Ovis aries: one gene and its partner. The protein of the gene in region 1 binds, or shares a complex with, the protein of each later gene. Links are inferred from orthologs where the notes say so. Each region holds a gene or a part of one and is shown in the gene's direction. Other genes may lie near its edges. The genes, in order: MEAF6 and ING5.

Evidence for each region.
Region 2: MEAF6 (region 1) and ING5 share a complex: the UniProt entries of both Homo sapiens proteins name them as parts of the HBO1 complex. The link is inferred for Ovis aries from reciprocal best matches to the Homo sapiens genes MEAF6 and ING5.

Annotation. Positions count from the first base shown.
Region 1 is NC_056054.1:12,324,100-12,327,903, reverse strand, and holds part of MEAF6 (chromatin modification-related protein MEAF6), read left to right. Parts: intron 1-1,085; coding exon 1,086-1,420; 3' UTR 1,421-3,804.
Region 2 is NC_056054.1:251,937-256,475, reverse strand, and holds the start of ING5 (inhibitor of growth protein 5), read left to right. Parts: upstream 1-1,440; 5' UTR 1,441-1,469; coding exon 1,470-1,506; intron 1,507-1,759; exon of another isoform or gene 1,760-2,328; intron 2,329-3,615; coding exon 3,616-3,687; intron 3,688-4,539. UniProt on the Homo sapiens protein: Component of the HBO1 complex, which specifically mediates acetylation of histone H3 at 'Lys-14' (H3K14ac) and, to a lower extent, acetylation of histone H4. Component of the MOZ/MORF complex which has a histone H3 acetyltransferase activity.

The DNA of each region.
Region 1 (3,804 bases):
TTGAAGTTCTTGTGCTGATTTTTCATGAATTCCACTTTGCTTTCAGGACAGGATTGGTTAGTATACTTTTTCTAGCTTCATAGTGTTAGAGCTCCCTCTTCTGTTGTCATAAAGTGTTCAAAGGCAGGGATCTGTCACTGCTGAGAACTGCTTCTATTTTCTCCTTTCTGCTCTTTTGGGGACTACCTCTTTGTTTCAGCTCTAATATCCTTGTGCTACTCAATTTGAAATCTCTTCCTAGAAGTTTATATTACAAAGACATAACAGGAAGAAAGTTAATCCTTGGTTCTGCTGTTCACCTAACTCCTTTTGAAAATTTTTAGAAACAGGTAATGTACACATATTTGGGATTCTTCATCAGTTCAGTAAAGTGATAGTCTTCTCCTCCCCCATCCTTTTATATTAAGAGTTTCAGAGAATTCCTTTCAGGAAGAAAAAGTGTACCTTTACCAAACTATGTGTAGTTTTTCTTAAAAACATCTATTTATACAAATTCTTGTTAAATTTACTTATTTAATGTATCTGAGGGATATTTTAAAATCTGGAATATGTGTCAACTGAAAGGTATTATTACCACTTTTAAAATAATATTCTTAAGGCTTCTCAGAGTAACTTAGGTGGTGGAGCTCTTCTCTTCCTTGGCCCTTTTTCTTGATGGAAAGTCAAGATTCCTGTGTAGTTTGGCAAGGAACCAGAGCCAGCTGTAGGATCTTTTCCCAAGGTCATCTCTCACCTCCTGAAGACTTATATAATGTTTTTGATAATGCTTCTTGTGTAACTGTTAATCCCATTAGTGTATTCTGTGTTTCAATAGCCCCTGCAGTAGCAAGGCTGTCTTGTGTGGTCCAGTCTCTCGGCTGTCCTTAGACCTGTCGCCTCTGGTTACACTGTTTCAGATTACAAGGTTTTCAGCACTCTGGTAACTTTGATGCTTTGACTAGATGTGTCTTCCTGTCAGCTGGAATATGTGGTCCTTGAGGGTAGTACCGTGTGTTTCAGTGCTTGAAAATTCTTTTCCAGACTGATGGACAGACTGCCTGAGGAGTACTGATGATGCTTTGGGGCCTTGTGTTTCCTCACTCCAGGGGAGCCAGGAAGTGGGACGGAAAGTGACACTTCTCCAGACTTCCACAATCAGGAAAACGAGCCCAACCAGGAGGACCCCGAGGATCTGGATGGATCTGTGCAGGGAGTGAAACCTCAGAAGGCTGCTTCTTCTACCTCCACAGGGAGTCATCACAGCAGCCATAAAAAGCGAAAGAATAAAAACCGGCACAGGTCAGTGGCAGGGACCACACTTCCCCAAGCCCTGCACGTCTGCCCTGTCCCCAGCCACTTAGAGCTTCCACTGACCATGGCCGTGAAGGGTCTGTACTGGAATAAACGTTCTTCAGGATTGGTGTGGTCTTTCTGTTGCTGATGGGAAGAAACTCATTTGGTCTGAATGAAGCAGGCTAGTTTTTCTCTAAGGAAGGAGTTGCTGGGCATTAGAGTAACTGTGGGGGCAGACATCCTGCTTACTGCTTCCAGTGTGAAAAGTGAAAGTCACTCAGTCGTGTCCAACTCTTTGCAACCCCATGGACTGTAGCCTGCCAGGCTGCTCTGTCCATGGAATGCTCCAGGCGAGAATACTGGAGTGGGATGCCATTTCCTCCTCCAGGGGATCTTCCTGACCCAGGGCTTGAACCTGTGTCTCTTATGTCTCCTGCATTGGTAGACAGGTTCTTTACCACTAGCGCCACCTGGGAAACCTGTTGGGAAGCTGCAGAATGGGCTAAGCCTTTTGCCTCCTAGTCCTGATCCCTGCCTACCCTTATTCCCTGGAGAATGGAGAGAATGAGCTGATGTGCCTTTTTACTTTTTGAATACAAGGTTTGTGATTGCTTATGATTTCTCTATATATCTTCACAAATTGCTGATTTGAGTGTCAGAGGAACAATATAAAGGCTGTAATTTACAAGAGCACCTTCCTAGATAATGTTTGTTCACTGTGTTTTTTTGTAGTGCCTAATGAGCTAGGAAACACACAGTGGACAGAGAGGTTAGGTGTTACCCAGACAGGATTTCAGCGTTCACTCTGCTTAGGGTTTGTATGATAGTGCCGGGGCCTCTTAGCTTAGGTAATTTAAAGCCGTCCAGTTGCACTCAGAGAGGGAAATTCTTAGTTTTTCCAGGAAGGAATCTTGTCCTGGCCTCAAACCTTCTGGGAGGTATGAAAACCAGACATCCAACAGGCTGGCTTTTGTCCTGCTCCTCTTAGGAGCCTGCATGCTGAGGAGATGGAAGGGGGTGTGCAAGGAATGGGTGGGGTCCCCTGTCTTTCAGTTTGCCTCTGGGCTGTGCTCTCCTGTAGAACATGCCCTCTTGCACCCAGGGCATTACAGTTGTTAGCTTGATGGATGTGGCAAGCAGGGATAATATAGAATTAACTGGTAACAGGTTTAAGCCTCCTTGGCATCAACTGATTCTTTAATTCTTTTAAGAGTTTTTCTTGTCATTGGTGGTGGTGGTTTTTAGATGCAGGAGCAGTATATACTCCAGAGAGTGACTGAGGACTGCAACTTAATATTTTTCTGCAAACCAAAAATCACCAGGCCAGTCTTATAAGCATAGTAAGAGAGAGCAAAAATTGCATCTCTTTGTCTCCCCTTTTTTTTGCTTAAGTAAGGCTACAGGTTATTTGATTACTATGATAAGACTGATGCCAGTTTATCATGAATAGCAGAGAACCATACTCTTTAAAGTATTTTTTTTAATTGTCAAGATAAAAAGGTTATGCTCTGTGTTGCTTTTTTAAAGTTTACTCCAGGGTAATTTTAAATATAATAATTTATTTTCCTATTCCAGAGTATCTAGAGGGGGGGATAAATTCCTTGAAAGTTTCTGGGACATTTTTTTTTTTCCATTCCTGGTATGACAGACTCTCTGTAGCTGTTGTGTATTTCAGGTTATACCTTATTTTCCTTAATGATACAAACAGCTGATGAAAAGGAATTAGACATTGAACTTAACTTTCTCCTTACAGATTGCTAGTAGATTTCCATAGGAACAGCTTTTCCTGCCTTTCTTCTCCTGGCCTTAGAAGCTAACTCCTTCCAGAAAAATACTAGGATTTAAAAAGATCTTTGGTGGTAGTTATTGCCTTCACAGGGGGGCTTTTTGTTTGGAAAGCAGAATCCTTTTGTCATCCCCCTGGTTTAGTATCTGGCTGGATTTCTCTGTGGGCCTTAGGGACGACTCATCTGCCCCAAGGGAAGAGAATGGAATTGATTTCCCTTCTTTCTGGAGAAAACACGTTTAGCACACTTTCTCAGATTCCTGCCATCTTTAGTGTGGAATTGTGTCTGGCCCAAACCCCTCATCCCTGACCAGTGTCTTAGTTGGTCCTGCAGACTGGGGGGGTGGGGGTAGGGGGAACACTTTGTCTACACATGTTTGTGATTTTGCTCCAGTACAGTATTGTTTCTCCTCCAGTGTTTCACACTCCATATCATCAGATAAAAGTCAATGGTAAATTATTTCAATAAAGGTATGAATACCCACCATGTGCAAGGCATTGTTTAGTGATGAGTAAACTAAGTGGAAATAAATAGGTACCTTAGCAAAAGAAATAACTTTTATTTGATCTTTTCAAGAAAATGAAAATCTATCAAATAATCTTTAGCATTCATAAATTGATCACAGGATTCTAAATTCTTATGCTTTACATGATATCAGAACAGTAAATCCCAGTGTGTTTAAAGAAGAAAGTTGAAATTACAACCTATAGCTGCTCTGACAGGTTTTTACTACTATACCAAGCTC
Region 2 (4,539 bases), about 12 Mb from region 1:
TGGTCCAATGGTTGACAATCTGCCTTGCAATACAAGGGATCTGGGTTCAACCCCTGGTCAGGGAACTAAGATCCCACCTGCTGTGGAACAACAAAGTCTGCTTCCTGCAACTACCGAGCCCAAGAGACACAACCAGAGTCTGTGCCGCCCAAGGACAGACCCCACGTGATGCAGTGAAGACTCTGAGGGCTGCGATGCTTGACGCAGTCAGATGAATTAAAAAAAACGCTGTCCGGCCAGGAAAAGGAATGGAGGAGACTTGGAATGCACCTACTAGGTGGAAGAAGCTAATCTGAAGGGGCTCACATTCTTTGACTTCAACCACATGGCATTCTGAGGAAGGCAGAACTGGAGGCAGGGGCGGGGTTAGCGTTCGCCAGGGGCTCCCCCGGAGGGAGAGGGCAGAAGCAGCTGATTCTTAGGGCAGAGCAACTATTACGCTTGATACTGCAATGGGTGCCGCTTGACATAAATGCACAGCACAGAATGAACCCTAATGTGAACGTGACTTCCTTTTGTCGTTTAGTCGCTAAGTTGCGTCCGACTCCTTTGTGACCCTACGTAGTGGAACCCGCCAGCCTCCTCTGGTCCATGGGTCATCCCATGGCAAGAATACTGGAGTGAGTTGCCGTTTCCTTCTGCAGGGGATCTTCTCGGCCCAGGGATCGAAGCGGGTCTTCTGCGTTGGCAGGTGGGTTCTTTACCAGAGCTAGCAGGGAAACCTTAATAATAATGTATCAATACTGTTTCATCTATTGTAATAAATGTGCACCAGCCATGGAAAATGTTCATAAGGAAAACTGTGTATGCGTGGAAGGGGTATATAAGAACTCTTGTATTTTTTTTGTCAATTTTTCTGAGAGCCAAAAACTGCTCTAAAAATAAATTCTATTAATAAGAACACTTATCTACTCGAAACAATAAAACAGGGGTGGTGTGCAACAGTGCACTGGAGTGTGCGTGATTCTCACACCAAGCATTAAATGGAGCGGGGGTGGTTGCACAGACATTGGTATCACTTGGATCGAAGGGTGAGCAAGACGATCGCAGGCCCGCGCCTCCGGGAGTGGGGGAGCTGTACATCTCCGTACAGCCTGAGTTTGTATAACGCAGGTAAAGCTGGCAAAACAGTGAACGCGTTCCCCCTTTTACATGTCTGCCTGGGGTTTAGCACGCCGGCCCCCGCCCCGGAAGTCGCCCCCCCCCAGGCGCTAGGCGCGCTCCCGGGCCCCCCGGCCGAGCACCAGGCCCCCCGGCCGAGCACCAGGCCCGCCCGCCCGCCAGGGCCGCCCAGCCCGCCCAGCCCCCGCGCGAGGTCGCGCGCGGCCCGGCCGGAAGCCGAGGCGGGGGCCCCGCCCGGCCGGCGCCCAATCAGCGCGCGCGGCTCATTAATAGTGACTAGCCGGCCCCGCCCCCGGCCCTCGCGGCGCCGCCGCCCGCGCAGACCCGGAGCGCGGCCGCGGACGAAGATGGCGACCGCCATGTACTTGGAGCACTACCTGGACAGTAAGCGCCCCGCGCGCCGCCCCAGCCCGCCGCCCGCGCCCCGCCGCCCCTGCCGCGCTTCCCCGAGCGCCGGGCTCCGCGCGCGGGCCCCGGGGCACGCGGGGGCGGCGGGGTGGCCGGGCGGCGGCGGGGGCGGCGGGGGCGCGCGGGGCGGGCGGGGCGGCGAGGGAGGGGCGCGGGGCGGGCGGCGCGGGCCCCGCCGGCACGGCCGCGCCAATTCCAGGTGCGTCACGGCGGGGCGGGGCCGGCGCCAAGGGGCGGGGCCCGCGCGGCCGGCGCCGCCTTCCAGGCGACCACGCCCACCTTCCTGCAGGCCCCGCCCTCCCCGCCCTTGAACACGGCCTCCTGGGCGGGGCCCCGCCCCTTATCGGCTGGGCTCCGCTCTCTTCCCTGTCGGACCCGCCCCCTCTGGTCAGGCCCCGCCCCTCCGAGCCCCGCCCCGCCTTGGGGGCGGGACTGGCCCACCAAGATGGTTGAGTCCCAATCGCCTGGGACTCTGGGTCGGGTTTGGGGGGCCCAGGGCCTCGGAGTTCGGTGTTCTGTGCCTGCTTGTGATGTGACTTAGCTTGTGCCTCAGTTCCAGGCCTCATTTCATGCATTTGCGAGGCATGCAGGCGCAGAGGGTCACTGAGGGTACCGGTCCGAGCCCAGGGGCTGGGGGCGCTACTTACTGGCCGGGGTTAGGGTGTTCAAGGCAGGGGTCATCGTCGTGGCCAGATGTCCCGACGCATTGCACATGTTGCCCTCTCTGCAGAACTCCTGAGCGGGTGGCTTTTTTCCTCCACATTTCACAGAGCAGGTGATGCCGCCTGCAGAAGCCAGGTAGCTTGTTAAGGTCTCTTGCTGGAGAGCGGCGATCCCGCGTGGGAGTCCTTCGTCCTGACTCCTGTCTGGCCTCCGCTGGGGCATGGCCTGGGGAGGGTGGGGCTGGTGGGTGTTGGGCCCCGTGGCTCTAGAGCACTGTGCTGTACTGGGGATCACAGCCCCCAGACCCTCACCTGAGGGTGTTGAGAGTAGGGATTGAACCTCTGCTCTGGGGAAGACTGTGGTGATCCGCAGGGGATCACCTAGTCCTGGCCCAGCCTGAGCACAGGTCCTGGGTGGGAGAGCACCCAGGTGCCTGTAGGGGGGGCACTGTGGCTTGTCCTCTTTCCTGGTGCTTGCCTGGTGGGGCCCAGGAGGAGAGTCCGAGGAATATGATCCTGGCCTTTGCGGGCACCCGTGTGAAGGCTTGGGGACAGAAGCCCCTGCTCACTCCCTAAGCACCTGCTGTGCACCAGGAATTTTCCTGGGACATGCTCTCAGATGGGACACAGGAGTTTAAAGGTCATGAAGGAGTCTAGCATGTCTCAGAGTGCAGGGGTACTGCTGCAGTAGGAACCCCGGGGGGGCGGGGTCCCACAGAGAGGCTCTGAGGGGTCCGCTCGGTGTCTGCTGAGCCAGGGCGCCATGGGGCTTAAGCACCAGCTTTGTTTGATGAGAGGGGCCCATCCTGGCTGCAGGCAGGGGCCGGGCTTGGCCCAGACCAGGAGCCTGGCAGTGGGGACAGGAGACCAGTGTGGTGCAGGGTCCTCCCTGTGCTGTCCTTCCTGGTCTGTTTAATTTTAAATAAACTCTCATAAAATGGGAAACTCAGTCCGTCTGTGGTACTGGCCCCATTTCAGGTGCTCAAGTAGCCCAGAACACGTGGCCAGTGCCTCTGTGTTGGGCAGCTCCATCTTTGCATCACGTTCCCCCACACAGCCCCGGTTGGTACTTCCCCATGCCCCAAGTTCAGAGTAGAGTTGGAGGAGGACCCTGGGGTTTGGGCTGGTTCGCTGTGACGGGGTGTCTGCAAGGGAGGAGTGGCCTGGGGTCTGGGGTGGGAGAGGCGCATGGGCACCCTCTGTCCTCTGTTTGAATCTAACTTCTTGAGTTTCTGACAAGTGCTCAAACACGTCAGCTTGTACCAGGGTGTGTTCAGTGTTTAGAGCACGTCGCTGGGAAAAGATACCCTGATTCTTCTTGTTTCCAAACCCTAGCAAACAGAAGCTAGAGTGGGCTTACCCCTTGTGGCCTTGAGCTGTGAGGCTGGAAAGGTGAGCTTTTGTCCTGCTGTGTCTGTTTCAGGTATCGAGAACCTTCCCTGTGAGCTTCAGAGGAACTTCCAGCTGATGCGAGAGCTGGACCAGAGGACAGAAGGTGGGTGCAGGCCTTTCAGTGCAGCCAGGGTGGGGAGAGCAGCTCCCCAAGGCAGGACCCTGGGGGTGGTGCTGCGCTTCCAGGTACCTGGGGCAGAGGTGCTGCGGGCATGGGGTGACGTCTCAGAGTGCCAAGTCTGTGCAATCAAACTGAGTGCCTGGTGCTCCTGCGTTTCGTCTTTATGACCCTCATCCCCTCCTTGCAGTTAAAGTATTTGTTAGCTTCTCTTTAAAAGATTTTCCCTTTTCACACTCTGTGTGTAGTTTACACCCTGCTTTTGGGTCTTTTGGTGTTAACTCCTTATTTCTGAGCACCTCGTTTTTGCTGCATTTCTTTATTTCCTTTTGGTTTTAGACTTTAGCTGTTCAGTTATTTCAGAAAGTGAAGACTGACGTCTTTGGTTGCGCCCAGCCAGCTCATGTGCACACAGCTCCTTCCCGCCATCTCCTGGGTGTTGTGGGCCAGAGTTCACACTGTCCTGATGTCGTGTCCGTCAGGGCCCCTGTGTCGGTAGCTGGCCGCCTGCTGTGCGCATGTGGCCTGCTTGGCCTGACTTCCTCTCGGCGTCTCTCACTGCTCTGCTGGTTGGTTTGTCTTCCATGCTCCCTGGTGCGCGGCGCCAGGCACCTGCCAGCCCTCTGTGTGCCCTCCGCGGGGGCCGCCGGAGCGCGCCAGCTGGCCTGCCGTGCACACCCCAGGCCTCCCTCTCCCGCGGCTGCTCTTCCGTGTGGGGCCCTGTTTGCTAGGCTGTTAAGCGTGCCGCGTCTTGATTTGCCCTTTGTTTCAGGGGAGCCTTAAAGGGTAGAGGGGAGGGTGAATAATGTTGCGTGTCTGAAACCGCAGCAGTGAGCA